Sus scrofa: one gene and its partner. The protein of the gene in region 1 binds, or shares a complex with, the protein of each later gene. Links are inferred from orthologs where the notes say so. Each region holds a gene or a part of one and is shown in the gene's direction. Other genes may lie near its edges. The genes, in order: MYO3B and ESPN.

Region 1 (4,396 bases):
CCCCTGGTGGACATTGGGAGTTGAGTAGTAGCTTTGAGGCGCCAAAGACAGTCAGTTTAGTTTTACATATGTTTGAGGATCAGAGGAGGCAACTAAGGGGAAATGCGTGGCAAGCAGTTAGTAACCCTGGGCTGGGGCTCAGACGGGAAATAGGGCTGAAAAGATGGTGCCGCTTGCTAGGATGTGAGAGCCTGGGGTGTAGATGCGTCATTTGGAAGACAAGTGGAGGACTGAGGGAGGACTTCAGTTTCAACAGTCACATTAATCGGAGAATGGAAGCTGATGCAGCAGGTGGAGAGGCAGAATAGGAACCAAGGAAGTAAGATGTGAAGAAAACAAAGGGGGGGGGTAGTGTTTTAAAAAGGTAAAGGCCGTGAGCAGTGGCTGATGCCCTGGAGGGTGAGAATGAGGATTAAGTGCCTTGACTTTCATGATTGATAGGAAGCTTTGAAATCGAAATTCAGTAGGGAGATTTGGCTGGAAACCAAATCCTCTGCCTTGTGAAAAAAACAAACATAGTCATACATCTCTGTATGAGTGTGTGTGTGTGTGTGTGTTTGTATCTGCAGTAATACTAAATAAGACTGGTTATGTTTGGATATGGGACTTTATGAGGGTTGTAATATTCTTGTTTTATTTCTCTGTGTTTTCTTGGTGTTCTATGAAACAACACTTATTTTTTAACTGTAAGAAAACCTCATTGGTTTTATAGTTCTGATTTTTAATCCCATATTAAACATTTACTGAGCACTTATACAATGAGGATTTGCTGATGAGACAGAAAATTATTAAGATGTGGCCTCTGTTCTCTTGGGGCTTGCTGGTGGAGAAGACCGACATGTCAACAGGAAATGCCGGTCAATGTGACAACTGCTAGAAACAAGCACATGGGACAGAGAGACTATTCGGGACAGAGAGGCTATTAAGGAAGGGCCCCTCTAGTAAGATTAGGAAAGGCCGCCTAGAAGAGATGACATCCGAGCTATATTTGAGTGGGTTCTATCTAACCCTGTGCAGACAGGTTGTGAAGAAGCCAGTTCCTACAGATGGACCTAGTCTCTTTCTTACCAGTCTTTGCCGTGATATCATGCACTTGCTTCTGTATTAGTTTCGAATTATTCTCTAATTTGTTCAAGTTTATACGGTGTGTGTTTTTTAATTGTGTGTGTTTCTGGGTGTTCATATTTAATATTTGTACTAATTTGCTCTGACCTTTCACTGTTTACTGCTCTGATTTCTTTTTAAAAGCTAACCTCTAGCTCGGAAAGCACAGTTCTATGATTTGTGATTCGTGTAGAACGTCCTGTAACATATAGACACAGTAGTCTGAGTAACATTCTCAGAAATGGAAATCCACATGAATTTTCTCATAAGTGTAAAATGTTGCTTGACAAGTTTCTATTTAAATGTACTTGCTAGGCATGACTGACCACAGGAGTTTGCAGGGTGCATGTTTCAGATTGCTTTATTATTTCAGCAAGGTAAGGCTTCGGCTCCACTATGGAATCACACAGGATGTTCAGCAAGGGTACAGGGCCAGACTCCCTTGGGGTTGTTAGCAACTAAAACCAGCCTATGAGGGACTCATGAGAATGGGGTTGGGGGTGCTTCTTAGAGGAATGCAGTAGGAAATTTCATGGATACTCAAGGACAAACAGCAACGTTTAGCAGGCCTCAGGGGGCCTGGATTGAGAATTCCGTAGTGAACTCACTCACCAGTTCTCTTTGGTTTTTTCCTTCTCTGCTTTGCTTTTCTTCCCAAGATGTGTTCTACACTTTCATGCGGTTTCTGCTTTTCCATGACTCCAGCGTGCATCTGGGCCAAAACTGTCTCCTCTTTAGAGATGCCTTATTTGTTTTAAAAAATAAATAATACATGTCTCAGCAAAAATATGACTAGTATAGACAGGTATAAAGTTTTTAAAAATTATATTAATTTCTCTCTTTTTCAACCTCTTTGATTCCTGGTACCTCTCGCTAAAGGTTGAGTTTTGTAGCCTGGAAAATATAAAAAGATACACAATTCTATAGAGAGATACCTACACATAAACATATTCATAAAATGGCTATGAGTGTAAATTTTATTTTCATTTACACAAAATTTGTTTGTTTTTCAATACTTTAAAAATAACCTGGAATTGTATATTTTGTCATTATTTCCATATTAGTTGAAACAAAACTTACCTTCTTTAAGTGGTTATATGGGGCTAGATGGTATTTCATTTTATGTAATTATTGTGTTTTGTTACATAATATCTCTATAACGATGAACCATGAGGTTGTATCTTGTTTTTTAGTAGAAACAATCTCCTTTTCTTGACTAAACTGTTTTATTATTAGGTTTTATTTTTCCCCAGAGAACTATACCTTTAATTATGTATTCTATTATTTTTCTGTTCTCTGACTCATCAATTTCTTCTTTTATTTTTTTCATATACTTTCCTTAGGTTAATTTTGTTGATCCATCTCTACTTTTTTTTTTTTTCCCCATACTGGCAGCACATGGAAGTTCCCAAGCCAGGGGTCTAGCCACAGGCACTGTAGAAGCAATGCCAACAGAGTAGTTATGTTGTGAGCCATGAGGGAGGTCCTACCTTTTTGAAAAGAATGCTTTTTAATTCATTTTTATTAAAATTGCCTTGGTAAAATGTTTAATGCTATAAGGTTTTGCCTTGAGCCCAGCTTGCTAAGTTTTTTGGTAGGTTAATATCTTTAATATAGTTATTTTATTATATACTCTAATTTTAGTTTTAACTTTTTCCTTTGCGTCAAGATCTGAGGGAGCTTTGAAATTTTCGGGTATCTGGGCTTTTTCTTGTTTTTATTATTAACATACAGTTCCAATTCCGCTTTCCTAGAATGCATTGAGACTTTACCTTGTGAAATAATGTACTCTTTCTTTTTAAAATTAAAATTGTCAGTACTATAAAAGTTATATCCACACACACACACACACACACGAAGATCATTCACCATATTGATTGTATAATACCTATTTTTTATTTTGTCTCTTTGTTCTGTCATGACTGATAATATCTGTTACTATTATTGTATGTTGTTGATGTCTTCTAGAAGTTTATGTTTTTATAAATTTTAACAATTTGCTTTCATTACTGAAGGATTACTATAATTTATAGCTGTAAATCTTTCACTTATAAAGATTATAAAGATTATAAACTTAGAAACTCATTACTGATTTAAACATATAGAATAGTACTTGATATAGCATATAGAATAGTACTTGATGCATATAATTGCTCAATTTTATTATTGAATGTACTGGTAACATTTTATGTTCTTTAGCCACTTTTGCCTTGAATTTACTCTTTTCTGATATTACTACTATGATTATTTTTGTTGTTGTTGTCATTACCATTTGACTGGCTTTTCTTTGACCTCTTTTTACTTTTAATCTTCCTGATTCATAAAAAAGACTCTTAAACAGTTTACTTTAGTGCAAATCACTATAGATTTGGTTCATTCTCACAAAATAATCCTATATTTATTGGTATAATAAATTTTGCAGCCATATTTCTTAATTCATGTTACATTTTCGATTTTTAGTGCTTCCCTTATCTCTTTCCTCATGGGTTGTTTTTTCTTCCTGTGGTATAATTATGTGTCTACATGAGCATGTGTACTTTTTAATGTAATGTCAAAGATTTATCCTCTATTTTGTGGCCTTTTAGAGATTCCTTTTATAACTTTGTATAGTGATTTTTACTTCTATTTATCAATTTATCGGTTATTTGACTTAGATGAGTGAAAAAATGAACACATTAACAAAATAATTTGTTAATATTGTCATTTCAATTGGTTAAACTTTATAATTTTAAACAGTATATTTAACTCTCAATTTCTTCATTTATCATCTTTAGAAAGTCAAGAAACTTTCCCCTCCCCCCAAGTTTGGTTTATTATTATTTTTATTGGCTAACACTTGGGTTAAGTATAAAAATATCTGTTCATACTTTTATCTCCCGCAGACCTTTGTACACATAGATTACAAATTTTCCTGTATTGAGCTTTGGTGTGGAGAGAAGCCTGAGCTTTATGTTCTGTTTTTTTGCTTTTCACTGTGTTTTGGAGTGTGTGTATGTGTGTGTGTCTGTGTCTCCTCTGTACCTGAAAAATTCTCTCTTTACCTTGACATTCAGTAATTTTACTAGGAAACTTTTATCTGTCTGGACTGTTCATTTTGCCCTCTAATGTACGGGTCTTGGACATTAGGGGCAGTCATGCTTGATGGATATTGACTTTGTCCTTCTTTGTGAAATATTGTTTAAAGTGCTGTGCTAGCATTATTCCACTTGGCAGGAGGCATCTCTTCCTGCATGTCTTTGGAAATGTAACTTGTTTTAGAATAGAGTCTGATTATTTCTTTTACTTCTTGTAA
Region 2 (4,448 bases), on another chromosome or scaffold:
TTTTTTTTTCATGGTGGAGGCACAAGGGAGGGGCCCTCAAAACAAGCCATTTTAGCTCTTTCTCCTCAAAGCACCCCCGCCCCCGCCACTCACAGGCCTCAGGGAGACTCCTCCCTCTCTTGGTCCAAAAACCACTGGGCGAGGGTCCCAGACCCCAGCATCCTCAAGTCCCATGGGGGAGTGAGGCAGGTGGGGGTCGGTGGAAGTTGTTGGAAACCTACCTGATCACTCAGCTCCAGAGATCCCAGTTTACAAAGGTGCCATGGAGCACAGGCGGCCATTGCATGTGGCGCCACCTGGTGGCATCCTCAGGGAATTGTATTCAGCCACAGCCCCCGAATTCCACCCTAAGACTCCCACTGTTCCTGGAAACAGCTTCACTCCACAGCATTTCCAGCACCATCCTGTGCCGGGGGGCTGGGGGGGGGGGAAGCACAGGATGTTTCGAGGTTGCCGGATGTGCAACTGTGCTAACAGTGTTTCCTCCTGTCCAGCGCTGTGCCTCCCTCCAGCTCCCACGAAGGGCTTCCGGCCAAGCAGGCAGGGTGGTTTGGTGCACGTGTGCTCTCCCGGCCCGCCGCTCTCCCAAGGCCTTCCTGTAACTTGGGGAGGGGTCCTGACTCTGCTCTCTGGGTGGCTGCCCTGGTGCATCTCCCCATGACCCCCAGTCCTTGCATGCCTGATTTCCATCTCTCACCCTGGAGCTCAGGATGACGCCTCCCACCCCAGAGCCCAGGGTCTCTAGATCTGGAAACCAGGGCGCAGCAGGCATTTCCCCCTCTCCCCTTTCGCCCCTCTGTCCCTCCTTTGGGAGGCTCTGAGGGCAGTTCTTGGGGTCTGGAGGGAACCAGGAGGGCCGAGGGCCCAGCACCCGTCCCACGTGCCGGGCCATGGACCCAGAGCCCCTCAGGGACTCGTTAGTCCTGTTTCTGGCGCCCCCGTTGCCCTGGAAGTCTCCCCTGTCTGGAATGCGTCTTCGTCGAAGCCTCTGAATAAAGCCCAGCCCACCGCACCTCCTCAGGTGGCCCTGCTGCCCACGCAGCCCCTACGACTCTCTTATCTTCCCGCTTTCCTCTTCTGATCTCACTCTGATCCCTCCCTGGAATTTCGGTCATTGATGCTGGCTCGTGTCCCCAGCGCCTGGAGCTGGCCCTGGGTTGATGAATGAATTCGTCGGGAGGCTCTGCCCGACAGCGCCCGGAGGGCTCTTGAATTCGAACCCAGTCTGGCCACCCTCCGTGGTCTCCTTGTGGACGGGAGGGAAGTTAGGAGAGAAGTCCCTGGGCGCACGGCCTCTGCGGCCGCGGCGGAGGCGGGAGAGGGACTCGGGCGACGCGGGGCGGGGCGGGGGCGGGGCGGGGGGCGGGCCCGAGGCTTAAGCGGGTCGCCGCTGGGGCCCCGGGCCCAGAGCGCGGCGGAGGCGGAGCGGAGCGGGCGAGGCAGCGCGGGGCAGAGACCGGGCCGGCAGCCGCTCCGCCTCCCGACCGGCAGACCCCCGACGGCCGCGCCGCGGGCTCTCCCGGGGCCCGAGGGCAGGGGCATGGCGCCCCGGGGAACGCGCTGAGCGCGGGTCGCGGCGCCGCGGGCGGCACCATGGCCCTGGAGCAGGCGCTGCAGGCGGCGCGGCAGGGCGACCTGGACGTGCTGCGGTCCCTGCACGCCGCCCGCCTGCTGGGGCCCTCGCTGCGCGACCCGCTGGACGCGCTGCCGGTGCACCACGCGGCCCGCGCCGGCAAACTGCACTGCCTGCGTTTCCTGGTGGAAGAGGCGGCCCTGCCCGCCGCGGCCCGCGCGCGCAACGGCGCCACGCCGGCCCACGACGCCGCCGCCACCGGCCACCTCGCCTGCCTGCAGTGGCTGCTCTCACAGGGCGGCTGCGGAGTGCAGGTGAGTCCGGCCACTTCCTGGGCGCCCGGGAGGCCCCCTCCGCCCCAGCAGGGAGTTCTGGCCAGGGGCCCGCGGGGCTCAGGGATGAGTGGGCCGGGAACCTCCCGCTGAGCCTCCCTCGGACTCCCACCAGAGGACCTGGGCAGGGTGGGCTCCCCAGGTTGAGAACCGGGCAGCTGCTCTGGCAAGCCTGGCCGCCGCCTAGAAGAGCACCTGGGTGATAGGAAACCAGAATAGAATGGGGCTCAGCTGGGATAGTATTTAAGCTGGGGCTGGGGAACACACGGAGCCAGGCAGCCCTGGAGAGTGGGAGGGGTACCAGGGCCTTGGGCAGCAGAATCCGAAGCCCCCGTCCTCCAGGATCAGGTCTGGAAAGGGGAGGGGCACAAACCCTTGGCTCATCCCAGGCTCAGTTGCACGTTTCCTCATGGCCAGCAGTGGGGGTGGAGTCGGGGCTTGGGAAGAGGGGTGCCTCCCAGGACCTGAGCTGACTCAGGACCTCAGCAGCTTTCCGCCTCCCAGCTCCTTCAGCCCAGCCTCAGTCTTTCCACCCCGAGACCCCACCTGGTCTCACTCAGTGCCCCCCTCCCTGCAGCTGGGATCAGCCAGTCTGCCTCTCCTGAGCTGGAGAAGGAGGCAGCTCAGGCCCTGATAGGTAGCTCTCCTGCTCAATCCTGCTGCAAAGAGAGCATCCAGCAGGTCCTTGGCCCTGGGGATTCAGGTGTGCTCCTCTCTTGCCGCTGCCAGTCCATCAGGGCAACAGACAGCAAAACCTCGGGCTGGAAAGTAAACCAGGTACCTTCAGGCACTGTTTGCCCCCGGGAACTGCCTGGACAAGGTGGCCAGGGAGGGCATCCGCGAGGAATGACCTTCAACGAGAGTCTTGGCTGATGGGAAAGAAGTGACCAGGGGACAGTCAGAGAGTTCCACACACGTGGAGCAAGAAGGACAAAGCCTTGAGGGGACACAGTCTTGTCCCGTGGCAGGGATGGCAGGGGAGCGAGCATCTTTGGAGCCAGGAGGGAGGGAGAAGCCAGCAGGGCCAGGTCCTCGAGGGTCCTGTAGGCTGGTCAGGAATCTGCGCGATGCTCTGGTTGCAGGGGAAAAGCCAGTGAAGGGAGGAACCAGAGCTGATTTTCCACCGAGCAAGACCACCGTTAACTGGATATGGATGGAGAGGAGGCAGGGGCCGGGTGGCTGTACCAGAAGGGTGGCCAGGTCCATCCCCCACCTTTGGTCTCAGGCAAAGCCCCCCATCCCACCCTTCCTGGGAGACGGCCCTTATCTCCTGGCAAGCTCTGTTATCAGGAGTTCCTGGCACGTGGTCCATGCCCACTCTTCTGGGAGGCAGTGTGCCTCCCAGATCCCAGTGTCGATCCTTGGCTGGAAGCCCTCCCAGCCCCTGTAGAGGAGGAGAAGGAGCAGGTGGCCCTGTGCCCAGCTTATCAGGTCTCCCGCCCTCTAGCCTTGGGGCCTGGGTGCTGGGGGCGGAAGTGTGTGTGTCGGGGAGGATGACCTGGATCTGGGGCCCTGCTCAGCCCAGAGAGATAAGCAGCTTTAAGGTGTGGGCTACAGCACGTGAGGCTCCGGGGGGACCCACGTAGCTGTTGGAGCCCTGGGGACAGGCCATAGGCCTGTGGTCCTTTCCTTACTGCCACCCTCGCCCAGAAGCCCAGAGCCATCAGGACCCCCTGGAGCCTCAGACCCAGTCCCCGAGGCCAGAGGGAATCGAGGGCCTTTCTCAGGAGCTGGTCCAGTCTGGGTCACCTCTAGCCAGCCTTGTCCCCTGCGCTCAAGAGGACAGACTGAACCAATCCTCTTCCCTGAGCGTGGCACACACAGAGGCCTCTCAGCGGTGTCCTCGGCTTCCTATGGGCTGTTTGCTCTCCCTCCCCTGCCTCCCTGCCTCGGGTCTGGCCCATTTGTTTGCCCCTCACCCCAGAGCCCCACCATGGCTTCCCTGTCGAGCCCCCAGGCCCATTTCCTCTGTTCCCTCTTTTCTTTCTGCATTCTTTGTTTTGAGGGGGGCGCCCATGGCATGCGGAATTTCTCAGGCCAAGTGTCGGACCCGGGCCATAGCAGTGACAATGCCAGATTCTCCACCCCCTGCGCCACCAGGGAACTCTACCTTTTACACTTCTTGGAGGAGCCTCGGATGTTCTGCTGCTGAGATTCATCTTCCTTAAGCTGGAGATGCCTGGCCCACACCTGTTCCCACGGGGCCAAGGGGCTTCCTAGTAAACCCGCTGCCTCTCACTGCTGCCCTGCCCCCCTGCCCAGCTCCCCGCCCACCTCTCCGTCATCCCATGCCCTCAGTGCTGGGAGCTCATTCTGTTCTAGGACCAGTGCCCACACTCCCAAACTCCCCACCTCAGAGTCCAGACCTCTGGGCTCTCGGTGACTGTCCTCTGGCCTGCAGGTCACATAAGCAGCATCCATGCCAGACCCTTTCTAGAAGAGACACACACACCTGGGTGCCTGGATGGCCCCTTCAGCAGTTCAGGGCCCAAACCATCGGCCCGCCCCCTCTGGGCAGCCTGGGAGAGGGGTCTTTTGCCCAA

What was found.
Region 2: the proteins of MYO3B (region 1) and ESPN are in contact, whole or in part, in a crystal structure (PDB 5ET1), measured with the Mus musculus proteins. The link is inferred for Sus scrofa from reciprocal best matches to the Homo sapiens genes MYO3B and ESPN. Residues at the interface, in XP_017174528.1 of Mus musculus: Arg1223, Arg1224, Gln1226, Gln1227, Pro1228, Lys1229, Met1230, Leu1231, Ser1232, Ser1233, Asp1236, Thr1237, Met1238, Tyr1239, Tyr1240, Asn1241, Gln1242, Leu1243; in NP_997570.1 of Mus musculus: Leu35, Ala37, His41, Arg45, Ala67, Asn69, Ala71, His75, Asp76, Ala79, Thr80, Asp101, Ser103, Leu110, Arg113, Phe114, Thr135, Thr137, Ala139, His143, Tyr144, Ala147, Thr169, Asn171, Tyr177, Leu178, Gln181, Ala203, Asp205, Met207.

The regions. Positions count from the first base shown.
Region 1 is NC_010457.5:76,440,757-76,445,152, forward strand, and holds the start of MYO3B (myosin-IIIb), read left to right. Parts: upstream 1-1,401; 5' UTR 1,402-1,481; intron 1,482-4,396.
Region 2 is NC_010448.4:67,282,685-67,287,132, forward strand, and holds the start of ESPN (espin), read left to right. Parts: upstream 1-1,421; 5' UTR 1,422-1,593; coding exon 1,594-1,887; intron 1,888-4,448. UniProt on the Homo sapiens protein: Multifunctional actin-bundling protein. Plays a major role in regulating the organization, dimension, dynamics and signaling capacities of the actin filament-rich microvilli in the mechanosensory and chemosensory cells.